Linked DNA regions of Pelodiscus sinensis. The protein of the gene in region 2 purifies or fractionates together with the protein of the main gene of each other region. This does not show direct contact. Links are inferred from orthologs where the notes say so. Each region holds a gene or a part of one and is shown on either strand. Other genes may lie near its edges.

Evidence for each region. Proteins that work in one complex are often made in the same cells at the same time.
Region 1: the proteins of SKIC8 (region 2) and SF3B1 purify together in Homo sapiens (co-immunoprecipitation; 3 studies listed by BioGRID and IntAct, with this or other methods). This does not show direct contact. The link is inferred for Pelodiscus sinensis from reciprocal best matches to the Homo sapiens genes SKIC8 and SF3B1.

The regions. Positions count from the first base shown.
Region 1 is NC_134717.1:71,442,379-71,450,415, forward strand, and holds the start of SF3B1 (splicing factor 3B subunit 1), read right to left. Parts: upstream 3,005-8,037; 5' UTR 2,885-3,004; coding exon 2,857-2,884; intron 1-2,856. UniProt on the Homo sapiens protein: Component of the 17S U2 SnRNP complex of the spliceosome, a large ribonucleoprotein complex that removes introns from transcribed pre-mRNAs.
Region 2 is NC_134724.1:39,734,632-39,742,679, reverse strand, and holds the start of SKIC8 (superkiller complex protein 8), read right to left. Parts: upstream 3,035-8,048; 5' UTR 3,020-3,034; coding exon 2,988-3,019; intron 1-2,987. UniProt on the Homo sapiens protein: Component of the PAF1 complex (PAF1C) which has multiple functions during transcription by RNA polymerase II and is implicated in regulation of development and maintenance of embryonic stem cell pluripotency.

The sequences.
Region 1 (8,037 bases), on a different chromosome or scaffold from region 2:
AGGCTATTAGCCAGGGGATAAAATGGTGTCCTTGGCCTCTGTTTGTCAGAGGCTGGAGAGGGATGGCAGGAGACAAATCGCTTGATCATTGTCTTCGGTCAACCCTCTCTGGGGTACCTGGTGCTGGCCACTGTCGGTAGACAGGATACTGGGCTAGATGGACCTTTGGTCTGACCCAGTACGGCCATTCTTATGTTCTTATGAGAATGTGAATGTTTGCAAGACTGGCATGTATATTTGCATTGTTACCATTTTTGGTCAATTAGGGTTATCAAAGCTGGTAACACAGAGAAGATACTAAAGAGACTGCAGCCTTGACAAACCACAGAATATTCAGATTTTCTGCAGAGTGATAAGTCTGATCTATTCTTACAATTGAGGCTGACAAACCTACGGCACTCAAGGATTTGAACAATCCACAAGTAGAGTTCCCTCTAAGCTGCACCGCCACACGGCTGCCAAATAAGCCCTGTGCAGCGGCTCAGGGCTGCCATGACTAGGAAAAAAACGCCTCTCCCCGCTGGGCTGGAGGAATGCACCTGACCCCAGCAGCGGAGCTAGATTAAGAAAAGGAGAATTAGGGGCTGCACCCAATAAAGCCCACCCTGTGTTCTGGGCCATCCCCTCCTGGGGTGTGGGGAAGATGGATCTGTGCACTTCCTTCCTATACCCACCCCCCAGCTGGAGCCACAAGCATAGGGAAGCCCTGCTAAATATCATAGTGGTAACACACAGGCTGTGTCTACACTGCAGGCTTCTTGCACAAGAATGGCTGTTCATGCACAAAAAATTTGTGGAGCGTCTACACTGCACACATGTTCTTGTCCAAGTAAATGTACAGCAAAGCATTGGAAGAGGGCTTCTTGTGCAAGAGTTATTCCTCTCTCCACAAGGACTAAGACCTCTTGCTCAAGAAGGCAGGGTGGACAGGCAACAGTGTTTTTTTGTGCAAGAAACCCCCATGGCTAAAATGGCCATCAGAGCTTTCTTGCACGAGAGAGCGTCCGGCTCGACAATCTATGTAATCTACTCGCCCGTGGCAAGTAGATTACAACCCAGAAGAGCAGGGTTCGGGCGATCTGAGTATGCACAGATTGCTGGACAGCGCTGCTCGGCAAGCCCTGCTTATGGGTACCCACCCCTGCACCAGCCCTTCTCTTCCCCATGTCCACTCCTCCTCTAGCCCCATTCTGATCATCTGAAGCTACCCCTCCGTATCCCCTCTCCTAACACCTCCCTCTACCCACCTGCCCCGCCTCTCTCTTCTGGTGCCCATTCCTCCCCCACTTTGTGTCTGCCCTTCTGCTTCACCCCCACAATCCCCTGGTACCTGCATCTTCCCTGGGGAAGGAGGCTGCTGCACTGGTGTCCCCATCAAGCTGCGAAATGAACGGCAGGGCTTTCCAGCACATTTCACTACTTGATGGGGAACTGGGACAGAGCATTTTAATTTGCGACAGTCCCGGGAAAAATCAAAACATATGGTCAACGTATGTATGAGGCATTCAGATAGAATAGGGGTACTTAGTAGTCCCCCACACATGTAAATAATTTCTATCAGTTGTCTCAATTTGTTATAAAGCTATTTCAAGAGCAGAAGTATTACAGATGTTGTTCTGCAAAGGCATTTTTTGCATACACTCAGTGGGGAAATGAAGTAATGAATCTGGCTACAAATAACCCCCCCCCCCAACAAAAACCCACCTTTTATAATTTGTCATAGCACTTAAAGCGTTTAAGGGCCCAATTCTGCAAACTGTGACTGAACAGATCTGTTGATACCTACTCAGACTCAATGAAGTCAACAGTGTTCCTCCCATGTAGAACTGGGCTCTCATCTAGTAATTTTGCAGACCATGACAGATTACAGTATAGCCAGGGTGGAGAACTTTTTTGGGGTCAGGGAGCCACAGAAAAACCAGTTGGGGGGCTACCCACAAGACAGAAGCAAAAACAAAAAAACAAACCCCCTCACTGAGGTGGCTAATGGAAGAGAAAGACACTCCCACATTCCCCTTGTGGGGGCAGCCTAATCGATTATGTGTGCTCCAGCCCTCCATGTGGGGGTGGGGGGTTGGCGAGCCAGTGCAGGCTCTGCAATGCTAGGATGAGGGGTGGCCCTGAGCCAGGCAAACTAGGAGACACCTCTGGCCCCAGGGTCTCAAGTTCCCCACCCCAGGTGTATAACCTTAAGCGGGCAGAGGGCGACGGGTACCTCAGAAACAACATTACTCTCTGGCACTACGTCAGCAACAATTGTCTAATATTCCCTAGCAACCCGATATCAACCCCCTTATTGCAAAAGAAACAGCACTGGTAGGAAGGCTGAGCGAGGACGAGCTGACTCAGGGAGACTGCGCTGCCAGCAGGGGTACCCACGGCCAGCCCCTGCTGTGGACGGCGAGTCAATTGCAATGCGCCGGCAGACGCGACACGTTGCCGTGGAAAGCGCGCCCGGACCCGAGCCTGCCCGGGCCGCAGCAGGCAGCAAGGCGAGGCGAGCCGGGCGGGATGTGTCACCGCCCCTGGCCGGCCTCTCCAGCGGGCCGGGAGGCGGCTGCGCACGGCGGAGCGGGGCTCCCACTCCAGGGGCGCCGCGGGCCACACGTCACCTCCCAGCAGGAAGCGCAACCGCGGGGCCCAGCCCCTCCCCCCAGCACCGTGTGACCCCCCCCCCGCCGCAAGGGCAGCCCGAGAGGCCCCGGCGGAGACGCCATTACACAGGCCCGGCCCGCCCGCCCGCTGCGGCCTGCGCCGCCCGCCGCGCCACGACAGCCAGCCCGGCCCGGGCCCGCGAGGCGCTGAGGCAGCGGGGGGGGTGGGGGGGGAGCGAGCGGGGCTGGCTCCGTGTCTCACCTTCGTGGGTCTTGGCGATCTTCGCCATTTTGTGCAGCCCGAACAACACCGAGGCGGAACTGGAGCGCCCCGTCCCCCCAGCCACTTCCGCTACGAGGGGGCGGAGGGAGGGGGAATCACTGCGCAGGCGCGGTTCTGTCGGGCCGCGGGCGACAGAGGCGCACTGGGCAGGCGCGGGTTGCGTCGGCGGCAGAGGAGGGGGGGGGCGACAGCTGCGCAGGCGCGGTGCTGGCCCTCGCGAGCGTGAGAAAGAAAGCCTTTGCCTCGAGCCCTCCGCCCCCTGGTGCCTGGCTGTGCGGTGCCAGCCTGGCTGGTTCCTAATACGCATTACATGCAGAGCTGCACCAGGGGGAGGTGCTGGACCTGTTGCAAGCCAGGACTGAGCTGGGTTGCTGCTAAAAAAAAAATTGCTGATGTGGGAGGGGAGGAAAATGCATATGGTCTATAGCATTAACTGATATGCTTTTGCGTATTGGTTAATCGCCTACACTAGTACATCCCTGTTCTCCACCAGTACATAGATTTTGCAAAAAGCAGCAATCCCTTGTGTTCAGTCTTAAATTTCCTCTCTGCTCTTGGGGTCATCTACAGTATCTAAGATGGATCCCCTCATCAGGTGACATGGTCACATGTCTCTGCAAGGCCCCTGTTAATGGGCTATCACAGCCCTGTAATGTAAACTGTAAGGCTACGTCTACACTGGCATGATTTTCTGGAAATGCTTTTAACGGAAAAGCTTTCCATTAAAAGCATTTTCGGAAAATCGCATCCAGATTGGCAGGACGCTTTTCCGCGAAAGCATTTTGCGTGGCCAATCTAGACACGCTTTTCTGCAAAAAAGCCCCAATCACCATTTTCGCGATCGGGGCTTTTTTGCGGAAAACAGTACTGTGCTGTTTACACTGGCCCTCTTTCGCAAATGATTTGCGCAAGAGGGCTTTTGCCCGAACGGGAGCAGCACAGTATTTCCACAAGAACACTGTTGATCTTACATGAGATCATCAGTGTTCTTGTGGAAATTCAAACGGCCAGTGTAGACAGCTGGGAAGTTTTTCCGCAAAAGCAGATGATTTTGCGTAAAAACTTGCCAGTCTAGACACAGCGGCTGTGTCTACACTGGCCCCTTCTTTGGAATAGGCATGCTAATTTATAACTTTGGAATAGGGAAATGCACGGGGGATTTAAATATCCCCCATGGGATTTAAATAAACATGGCCGCCACTTTTTTTCCGGCTTGGGGAAAAGCCGGAAAAGAGCGTCCAGACCGGTGCGATCCTCCGGAATAAAGCCCTATTCCGGAGGATCTCTTATTCCTACTTGAAGTAGGAATAAGAGATCCTCTGCACTCATGGTAACATGCCTAACATGCCTCCAGCCTGGGGTAGGGGGTAGTATATAGAGCCTCCTCCCCTTTCTCCCACCAGGCAGAGCCAGCCCAGAATGCAGCATACTTGAGCTACGTCTACACTGGCAGCTTCTTGCACAAGAACTCTTTTGTGGAAGAGTTCTTGTGCAAAAACTCTTCCACAAGAGAGCGTCTACACTGCCATGTGCTTTTGCGCAAGAGCATCCATGGCAGTGTAGATGCTCTCTTCCGTAAAAAAGCTCTGATGGCCATTTTAACCATAGGGGCTTCTTGCACAAGAAATTTGTGTTGCCTGTCTATACTGCCCTCTTGTGTTAGCTGTCTGGTTGCTGGGACTTAGCTTGCCTAGGGGAGAAGAGACTTGAACCCACCACCCTATACTCCCCTAGCAAATGCCCTATCTACTACATCACTCCAGAACCCAGCCCGCCTAGCTACCTTCAGAGGGTCCCTTATCCTGCCTTCCTAATGCGGGAGCCAGGTCCATCCCAGGGACAGCCTCTGTTGGCTGTCTGGTCACTCCCAGTGTTGTGCTTAAAAGAAGCACACGGGATCTTTTTCAGGGGGATAAGGCAACACGCCACATTTATTGAACATACATAGATCAATCAACACTTTCTCACATGCATATGATACTTACACTTATGCACTCACACACACAGACACACAAGCACACTCCATCTTATTGTTACCAAGAGTTGCTCCCGTTAACTGCACTGGCCAAGTGAGTTAGATGTGGGGGGGTGGAGCGGGCTTCTGCCGATCCAGATCGATGCTCCCATGTTGACAAGACGAATAATCCGGGGTCCCTCTGCAAGATGCCTCATATTTATCCCTCTCATGCAGCCAGTTAGTCATCACCTTGCCTTTGTAATGCTTTAAAGAGAGGTCTTTCAAGGGCGGGCACTTGATGCTTGACTCCCAAGGCTGTCTGTATGTCCAGTCTTCTTAATGAGCTCACTTTACAGGTATTGTCTTGATCTGGCTCCCAGGCCCTCTCGACCCTTGCAACTGCTGCTGGATGTGCTCACCTTTCATTCTCCATTCACACCTCATTCATTTCAACAGGACAATCAAGGAAAAGGGAGAGCTCAAAAGAAATTTTTTCTTTATCTTAAACAAAGTGCCCCTGAATCCAGCATCCCAAAACCCCTCCTGTGCCCCAGCTCCCACCCCTGTACTTCCTCTTACACTCCAAACCCCCTGTGACTGTACCTCTGCTTAGGAGCAGCAGGGATGTGTCTGCTTCCAAGGAGCCATGCAGAACCAAGCAGGAAGCCTGCTGGTCCCCTAGCAACTGGACTATAAACTGGACTTTATATTAATATTATTAAGGCTGGTTTATAGAGCTTTCTGGACGGTTGCTACAGGGCTGGATAACACAGGTTTTACTGTACTAGGAAAAATTCATAATGTAGATCTCATTTATGACCCATTCCTGTGATGCCTTAATTATATACTAAACTTTTACACACTGTGGCTATGTCTAGACTCCATTGCTTTTTCAGGATACTAGAAGTATCCCCAAAAAACAACGCCGCGTACAAGGAAAGTGTCCGTTTTAAAAAAAAAATAATTTGAAAGAAAGGATGTGCTCTTTTGCCATCCCTGTAAACCTTGTTCTATGAGGAATAAGGGAAAGCTTGAAAGAGCACTTTCTTTCGCAAGTAGAAAGACAAATTTCAAAAGAGCCTCTTTCGAATGTAAATCAGAAAAAGATACACAATTTGCATACCGCAAATTGCGTTTCTTTTTCCAATTTAACAGTGCAGTTTAGACATAGCCTGTGAGTAGTTCCACTGGACTCTGTGAGATTATTCACAGTAGGCACGAAATGAAATGTATGCATACATTTTTGCATGATCAAGGCCTACATTCTTAGTGGATATTGAATCCTTAACAGAAATAAAATGTCTTGCATGAGAAATTATAAGGTGTCTGAATTAAAAGGATATTATTATAAAGAAATTAACCTGAATACAAGCCTCTTTCAGATGCAACTTCTCTTCTATAGAGCCTCAGTCTCATCCAGTGATCATTAATTTTCAAGAAAAACAGAACAAACTCTAACTTGTAATGTAAAAGTCAACCAGAAAAGCACATTTCTGAAATTTAAAAAACCCAAGTCTTCAGGCCTCTTTTCTGTATTATAAAGAAGCATGAAAGCCAACCCCGTAAAGATAATGGCTAATATAATTTGCTTTTTAGGGTTGCCAATTGTGGTTGGATGTACTCCTGGAGATTTCATCACATTACATAATCTTTAATTAAAGAGTAATTCTTGGAGTGTTGGCAACCCTATCTGTCTTGGGTTCCTAGAAAACAGCAGAGAGAGCAATTTAACTTTCGACATGCCCAAGTTGCTGTGACTGGTGTCTCCTCCATCAGGCTGGGACTGATGTCTCTGATCACTTGAAGTCCTACAGGCAGTCCCCGGGTTACGTACAAGATAGGAACTGTAGGTTTGTTCTTAAGTTGAATCTGTATGTAAGTCGGAACTGGCGTCCAGATTCAGCCGCTGCTGAAACTGACCGCCAGTTCCGACTTACATACAGAATCAACTTAAGAACCCCAAGCATCCCCAAGTCAGCTGCTGCTGAAACTGATCAGCAGCTGATTCCAGGAAGCCCGGGGCAGAGCAACTCTGCCTCGGGCTTCCTGTAGTCAGCGCTGGTCAGTTTCAGCAGCAGCTGACTTGGGGACGCCTGGGGCAGAGCAGCTGGGGTGCTGCTGGGTTGCTCCAGTAGCGCCGCTCCTCGGCGCTACTGGAGCAATCCAGCAGCACCCCAGCTGCTCTGCCCCAGGCGTCCTGATTCAGCCGCTGCTGAAACTGACCAGCAGCGGCTGAATCAGGACGCCTGGGGCAGAGCAGCTGGGGTGCTGCTGGGTATAACTGATTTCATAATTTATTTTTGCTGTGTAAGTTTCAGCAAAACGGAGGAGGAGTCTTGTGGTACCTTAGGGTATGTCTACACTACCCCCCTAGTTCGAACTAGGGGGGGGTAATGTAGTCATACAGAGTTGCAAATGAAGCCCAGGATTTGAATTTCCCGGGCTTCATTTGCATAAAGCCGGCCGGCGCCATTTTTAAATGCCGGCTAGTTCGGACCCCGTGCCGCACGGCTACACGCGGCACGGACTAGCTAGTTCGGATTAGGCTTCCTAATTCGAACTAGCTGTACGCTTCATGGATCAGTTTCAGCAGCAGCTGACTTGGGGACACCTAGGGTAGAGCAGCTGGGGTGCTGCCGGGTTGGTCCCCGCAGCACCGAGGTGCGGCGCTGTGAGGACCTACCCGGCAGCGCCCCAGCTGCTCTGTCCCAGGCGTCCAGATTCAGCTGCTGTTGAAATTGATCAGCGGCTGATTCCAGGAAGCCCAGGGCAGAGAAACTCTGCCTCGGGCTTCCTGTAGTCAGCCGCTGATCAATTTCAGCAGCGGCTGAATCTGGACACCAGTTCCGACTTACGTACAAATTCAACTTAAGAACAAACCTACAGTCCCTATCTTGTACGTAACCCGGGGACTGCCTGTATTGCAGTTTCTGTCCCTTTAGACCAGCAGGTGGTGCCATAAGAGCACACCCTCGCATGCTTCACTGCCTTCAAGCCTGCAAGTGAACACCTCGGGGAACCAGGCTGCCTACCTCTTTGAGCAGCAATCGATTTGAGGGCTTCACTGTCAATCGGGGAGTGTGGGTGGGAGTAACCAGCCCTCTTGGGACGACAAGCTGTCAGTCAGGTGCTGATTGGGCCCTGCCTCTGCAAGGCAGTAGCAGCGAAGGGAAGGATGAAAAGAGCTGCCTTTGGCTGATGGG
Region 2 (8,048 bases):
GAGGGAGCATGAGAAGTCTCCCTCCTATCTCTCTAGCCACCTGGAAGTTGGAACAGCTGGCTTTTTAAAGTGGAGCTGTTCTCTGCCTACTGTTTCCAGCAAGCCAGTCACAGGCTGGATCCAGTGTCAGACAGTCTCTTGCTCACCCGTGTTCTAAACCTTGTTAACTAATTAGACAAGCCAAAGTCAATCTACATTGTTCTTCAGCCATGTCCAGATCTTCATCCACATATTTTCTCCTAATAAGCATCATGGGATAGCCAAGTTAATCTGTACAGGATAAACTTAAAAAACAACAAAGTTCCAGTCATCTGAAGAAGTGGGCTGTGCCCACGAAAGCTCATGATAAGCTACATGCTTTGTTATTCTAAATTTTTTAAATTTATCCTAATAAGCAGTTTTCCTTATGATGTTTCATTCTTGCAGCTAGGCCCTGCATCATCTTCTTCCACTGCTTACACGACATGTTTTCCTTTTTTACCCAGGGAATTAATTTCTTCAACATACTCCCACATAGGGTCTCTTTTACACTCAGAAGCCATAACAGTTTTTCTGTGGCAAAAGCGTAGGGGACTATAGGAAGCTGTGTGTATGCTAAATAATGTCTTCCTTTTTCCAGTCCACTCCAGTGTTCCTCTCTATGCTGCTTCTGTCCTTTCCTTTTTCCTGTCCACTCCAGTGTTCCTTTCCATGCTGCTTCTGTCCTTTCTTATATATTATTTCTGTTTTTAGACAATGTCTTAACTAACTCTGCTGTGCTTGGCCCCGGTTTACCACCACATAAAATACAGAACAAAAACAATCCTATCCAGCTCATGTCAGTCTTTGTACATGTTGCTCAGCAGACTAACAAACTGAAAGGCCAGAAATTTCAAGGAGCAAGAGCTGGTCGTTAAGCTGAACGCTGCCTTCTATCGAGGAAGTCTTCATCCTCTCTGATCAAGTGTAGGGTCGACACTTGGGCCTCCAGTCCTCAAATTTTTTCTTCCAAAATGGCGACCAGCTTGCACTTAGTGCAGATGAGATCCGTTCTTTCATGATCCAGTTAAGATCCTTTTCAATTCTAAATTGACTGTATTGAATTTGCTCCAGTTCAGCTGTCTCCCTTTGTAATTGGGGTTTAAAGTTCTTTTGAAGAAGAATAGCTACTTTTATATAAGGATGTTAGATAGTGTGTAATTAAATAGTCATGTAACCAAATCAAATGTTAGCGGTTACATGACTATTCGATAATCACCAGGGGCAGAGCCAACAGTCAGTGTGCTCTGAGCCTCACTCATGGGGAGCCCCTACCACCCAGCACTGCTGCCTCTCCATCAGAGGCAGCAGCGCCAGGTGCAAGCAGGAGCCAGACTGCAAGGGGAGCCAGTTTAAAAACCAGCTCCTTGTGCAGACCAGTTCCTGCCTGCCACTCCTGCCTGTTGGGGGTGGGTTAGGGAGGCAGCACGGGGCAGTGGGAGGAGCCGGAGGGGAGGGGAGGAGAGGCAGCACCATGGAGCCAGTGCTGGGGAAGAGTTGGCTTTTAAGCTCTGCCGCTGCCTGTGCTTGTGGAGAAACAGGAAGTAGGGGCAGGTGGGTCCTACTCTGTAGGAAGCAGCAAGTGGGGGCAGAGGGGTTTACAGAGCTGGCAAGTGCAGAGAGCCACTTAAAAATCAGCTCCCCATGCATTTTGGCTCCTCCTGCTCCCCTCACCCTCCACGCTGCTTTCTCTCTATCAGAGGCATCAGCAAGGAGGAAGTGGGGGGGCAGGCAGATCCAGTACTCATGGGGAGGCTTAAAGCTGGCTCCCCACAGACACTGGCTACCATCTCCCCCCTCTTGCTGCCTCTGATAAAAGAGACAGCATGCGGCGGGAGGGGGGGGGAGTGCATGTAGTCGACAGAATTAACCAATAAGCCCGCATTTATCATTTAATCATGTAGTTGTCTACACACTAACATCCCTACTTTTAAATCCTTTACTGAATATCCAGGAATGTTAAAGTGTTCCCCTACATGTTTATGTGTGTTACCGTTCCTCATGTCTGATTTGTGCTCATTTATCCTTTGGTGCCGAGACTGTCCAGTTTTAAAAGGGAGGTTAAAACACTTTCTGGTTCTACATCCTAAAAAGAACTGGCTGATGTGGAAGGAAAGCAGAGATGAAAATAAGGAGGCCCACCTCAGGGCACACTCTTTCATTTAAGCCATTTATTTCATTCTCCAGCTTTCCCAACTCTCCCTATGCAAAGCCACAGCCCACCTTTCAGCACCCCACAAGGGCACAGCCTACTAAGCCACCTAGGAACCAACACTAGCCAGGTAAGTTGCCACCTTAAACTCTTTCATGTGCCTGAAAGTAACCTGGGAACACTAGGAGCACTCCTAGACTGTTCCTACAAGAAGGCGGTTTTATTTCTGCACATGGCACAGAGCTAGAGCTGGCAGACTTGTCTCTTTTCAGTTGGGTTTATCTATCTCCCCTTTCCCAACACAACTGTAATTGGGTTCACAATACTGCAGCTGGGGGCTAAAAACTCTCCTTGTAACAATTTAAAAAGTGACATTTCTATTCATTAAAACAATACCTAAATTGGGACCTTTAAAAAGCCAGAGTTTGCTGTTAAAGTAGCCAGCTGGGGTGCAGTTTATGATGCACTCTCCCAGCCTGGCTTACAGCCAGGTGAGGCAACAGCAATGAAGACACGTTAAAGGGATCAGCTGGCAGTGTGCTGTAGGGGAGCCATGCAGTGGGCAGTGTACGTGACATCCCTTACTTGTTCTGTAGCCAACAGCCCCTGGAAAAAAGCCAGGGGATTTCTCACACTGCTGCTGATTTCCCTGAAGCAGTGCCCTCACACAGCTCCTTTGTGGCCAGGTAAAGTTATCTGACCCCAGGTCTCCTCACTCTTTCCTCTTCACCCCCAGCCCCGACTCATACACCATTCCCCTACCCCAAGCCTCCCACACTCCCAACCCCCTGGTCTAACTCTGCCCCACACTATCCACCTGCACACACTCCAATGGGAATGAAACTGCATTAACAACAGAAAATCCAGAGTTATTGCTTTAATTATATATTTTACATTGACAAATCCTCTTCAGTTTTCACTTGTCAGGTGGAATACATTCATGTCTGCTCTAATGGGACATAGTCATCCCTGACCTATTGAAATGGGGGGGGGGGGGCGGAATGGAGAAGAGTCCCCCGCTGGCCCTGTGTTCCCTGCAACATTTCAAAGTGGCAGCACCACATAGAGCCTGGTGTGAGCTGAGTCTCCAGCTCATCCTGGGCTCCATGAGGCGCTGCCTCTTTGAAATGCTGCAAGGAGCCCGGCGCCAGGCTGCACACAGCATTTCAAAGCGGGAGCGCTGCATGGAGCCTGGGCTTAGCGGGGGAGTCCCAAGCAGGCTCCATACCACGCTGCCGTTTTGAACCACCCCCTCCTTGCTGCCTCTTTCCGGCAGAGGCAGCAAGGGGGGGGAGGGACGGTGGCTAGTTGCACATCCCGAGACAGTACCTGCCACCCAGCATGCAAAACAGGACGGTGCAGCACTTTTAAAGACTAACAAGATGGTTTATTAGGTGAGGAGCTTTCGTGGGCCAGACCCACTTCCTCGGATCAATGTGTGGAAGAAAATCGGCACAGCCATAGATACCGAAGTGACACGTTCCTTTTTTTTTTAAATTGTATCCTTTGGTATATATGGTTGTGACTATTTTCTTCCACTATTTGATCTGAGGAAGTGGGTCTGGCCCACGAAAGCTCCTCACCTAATAAACCATCTTGTTAGTCTTTCAAGTGCTACATTGTCCTGCATTTTGCTTCAGCTGCACCAGACGAACAGGGCTGCAGCGCTCTCGCCGCGCAGCACGCAGAGTGCCGCCCACTGCAGGGAGGAGCGGATCCGTCCGAGCTGGGCCAGGCCCGGGAGCGGAGCGGCAACAGCCCGGTGGGCGCTACCGCCGAGGGACGCAGAGCACGGCACGCGCCGCCCTCCGGGGGTCCCCTCCACTCCCGCACCGGCCGCGCCTCTTACCTGAGCGCCGCCGCCGCCCTCTGATGATGCTCGTACCACAGAGAGCTCGGCTAGAGCGTCCCGCCGGGGCCGCCTCCTCCCCGCAGTGATCATAGAGGAAGGCGCAGCCGCGGCTAGAACGTTGCGCGGCCGCCCGGTGGCAGAGAAGGCCCCTTGAGCCGCCCTCCCGTTGCCTCGGCAACCGCCCCGCCCCTGCCCGCTCTTCCTCGGGAGGAGGGGCGCTCGGAGCCTGCGCAGCCAGGCGAGGGCGGCTGTGCGCAGGCGTGAGCAGGGCCAGTCAGGGAAATCCTGTCACCTCAGCGCCGCCCGCCCAGTCCAACTGCTGCCGTGAAAATCCTCCCTGCCCCCAGTCGCAGCCCCTCGCTGACACGTCACACGGATGCCTGCTCCTGCCAAGCAGACCATTCCAGCGGGGCCAGCTCCTCCGTGCCTCCTCCACCCTCCCCACCTTCTTGCCCGCAGGGCCAGCCTGGGCCCCCTTTTGCCCCCTGCACACGAGGCTGGCACGGGTCCCTGCCACCACCCAAGGCCCCCCTCTTCCTCCCCCTCCCGACTGCTCTGCTGCCCACCTGCAGGGCTGGCCCAAAACCTGAGGCCCCCCTGCCACCTGGGGGCATCCCAAGTCCTACTCTGCCCCGTGCACACAGCTGGCTGAAGATCCCTCGCTGCCTGCCCACACTGGGCGGGTCCAGCCCAAGCTGCTGTCCCAAGACTTCCCCCCATGCCACTTACCCTGCCCCACCTACATTTTTCTCTGCATCCTGCTAGGAGGTCCCGCACCACTTAGCAAAACTGTTTGCCCTGTTTGCTCTTGCCAGCTGATGGCTGAATGGGATTAATGCCCAGCTTCTTTTTTGGGGGGGGGGGGGTGCTAAGGAGTCAGGATGACTAGGACGGGGTTCAAAAAGGGATCGTCCCAGACACAATCGGATGTATGGTTACCCTAACTAGACATTCACTCTCCTCTCTTCACCTACCTCTATGGCCTCTCTGTTCTTGGAATGCCTCCCTAGCCCGGCTTCCACCTTTTTCAATGGTCAAGTTCATCTGCAAAACTCTTCAGTGGGGCATAATCATCCTCTTCAAAAATCAACAGTGAAACCAGTGGTACTACCCAGACTCAGGTAAAAGATGTGCTATATGGGGCAGTCGATAGTGGGCAGATGAACTATTTTTAAGCACGAGATCGCTTTTTGAATTTAAGTGCAATCTAGGATCTACCTCAAATCCAAACACCTTTGCCCCACCTCCTTTGTGCCCTTTCTCTGAGGCCCTGCCCCTGCTCACTCCATCCTCTCTCCCTTTCACGGGGCAGGGGCAGAGGGTTGGGGCACAGGCTCTGCTCTTGGGCTAAGGGATTTGGAGTGTGAGAGGGACTCTGAGCTGAGTTTGGGGTGGGCCTTTGGGGTGCTGGAGGGGGTTTTAGGTGCAGACTCTGGGAGGGTGTTTGGATGCAGGGGTGCCTGGAGCTGGGGCAGGGCCTTGGGGTGAAGGAGGGGGTTCATGATGAGGGTAGGAATTTGGGATGTGGGCTCCAGCTGGGCCCTGCTTAACTCAGGTGGCTCCTGGGTGGTGGTGCAGTGGGAGTAAGGCAGGCTTCCCCCTGCCCTGGCCCTGCACCACTCTCAAAAGCAGCCAGCAAACTCCATCCCAAATCCTGTTGTCCCCCCCCCCTCCAGTTCTGTGGATATAGAATACAGGGTGGGAGGGAGCACCCTGACAGCAGCACCCTCTTCTCCCTCCCCTGCCCTGCACAGAAAGCAGGAGGCTCCCGTGGAGGGGAGGGGCACCTCCAAGGCAAAGGGCAGGAGATGAGCAGCAGTGGGGGGAGGGGCAGCTGAAGTGCTGCCGCTTGATAGCCTCTTGGTCAAACCTCTCAGGATGACCTGTTAGAGTCTCCAAGATCTTCCAGTAGATCTACTAGTCGGTGACCACTGAACTAGAGAATGGTCTGTAGCCCGGGAAGACAGAGCGGTGGTTTTGAGATATATGAATGTGTAGCCCAGAATAAAAATATAAGTAGCATGAGCAAGGCTGGTTTTAGGAGTGAGTCACTTGGCCAACTGCCCAAGGGAGCCATAGTCAAAGGGGTGTTGTGCAGCAGTGCAGAGGTGCGCGCTAACTGTGGAGACCAGGGCTACTCAGCTTTGGAAGCCCTGGGGGCCACAATACCCACAGCACATGACGAGAGCCGCAACTCAAGTGTGGTTGCACATATATGCAAATAGCTTCTTTGATACTGACGGGCATGAATACAAAGATTAAGGCAAGATTACAAAACACGCAGGCCCCATTTAAGTCAGATCTTCTGATATTAATACAATGCAATATTTATCCAATTTCCACCCATGTGACAGCATTTTTAATGAGCAATAACAGTTAAGCAATTTAATTACTAAAACATATCAACAGAAGACCATTACAATGATTACTTTTTTGATTTGTCTTCACAACAGTCCAGAAATTTAACTACTAAACACATATCAACAGAAGACCATTTATATTCATAACTTTTTTGTTTTGGCTTCACAATTTTAACAAATCAAACAAAAACTGCAAATACAATATTTACCGAAATATAAGTACAATCAATGTGAAGTTAAAGGCACCAAGCAGAGAAGTGGCATGTCTAGAAAAGGAAGTCAGGAATCCTGCTTCCCAAAAGCCCTTCCTTTCCCCAGCCTGCCCCACCAAGGATCAGCTCCCACAGTCCTCTCAGAGCAGAAACTGGAACCCCCAAATCTAACCAACGGACTCATCGCCCACCTACAGTAAAGGAAAGAAGTCAGAAGTTTTAATACCCAGTTCCCTGCTCTAACCCAGTGCCCCTGCTGTCCTCCACAACCAGGCACCCTCCAGCCCTCCCGCTCCAATCCAGTGCCCCTCTCCCAGAACCAGGCATCCTCCAGCCTTCCCTGCTCTAACCCTATGCACCCAGCCTTCCCGCAGAGCCAGGCACCTCCAGTCCTCATTCTCCAACCCAATGCCCATCTCCTCCACTAGAACCAGGTACCCCCAGCCTCCAAAGCTTTTGCGCAAAAGGGCCAGTGTAGACAGCTCAGATTTGTTTTCCGGAAAAAAGCCCCGATCGCAAAAATGGCGATCGGGGCTTTTTTGCAGAACAGCGCGTCTAGATTGGCACGGATGCTTTTCCGCAAAAAGTGCTTTTGCGGAAAAGCATCCGTACCAGTCTAGACGCTCTGTTCTGAAAATGCTTTTAACGGAAAACTTTTCCGTTAAAAGCATTTCTGGAAAATCATGCCAATCTAGATGCAACCAGGGCAAATAGCAATTAAAAAGAAAATTAACCTCCCAGAGGCTGAAACTGGTAGAAGCAAGACAGTAATAATTGTACCTAATTCTAACGTGCTTTTCATGAGCAGATCTCAAAGCACTTTTCATATCTCTATCTCCAATTTACAGATGGTGCAACTGAGGTAGGGGAAGGAAAATATTAAGTTTAATAAGTGGGTAAAGCTAGGATGCCACTATTCAGAAGTTCTGAAGCTGAATGTAGAGCATGTTGTAATATACTTAGCAAATGATAATATCATAAAGCTATATTGAGAAGGGGATTCTGTCTGGGAAGACATTAAATGTTTGGACCACTGAGCCCAGGAATTTGGGGCTGGATGCAGTTTTGTTCTAGCCTTTTCTCCCCATTTCCTCCCATTGCACCAACAATCTCCTCTGCACATGGATAGATGTGTCTAATGATGATGACAATAGTGCAGTATTTGGCACTTGGGACAAATCATTTACATCAAAATGGCCACCGCGCTGTGCCAACGATCAGCTGATCGGCACAGTGGGGCAGTCTAGATGCGCTGCGGTTGACAAGGAAAGCCTTTGTTGACTGCTCCATTATGCCTCATGATACGAGGTTTACTGGAGCTGTCGACAAAGGCTTCCCTTGTTGACCAATCAGCTGATCGTCGGCACAGCGCGGCGGCCATTTTGATGTAAATGAAGCGGCAATTATTTAAATTGCCGCTTCATTTTGCTATGTCTAGTAAACTCATCTACATG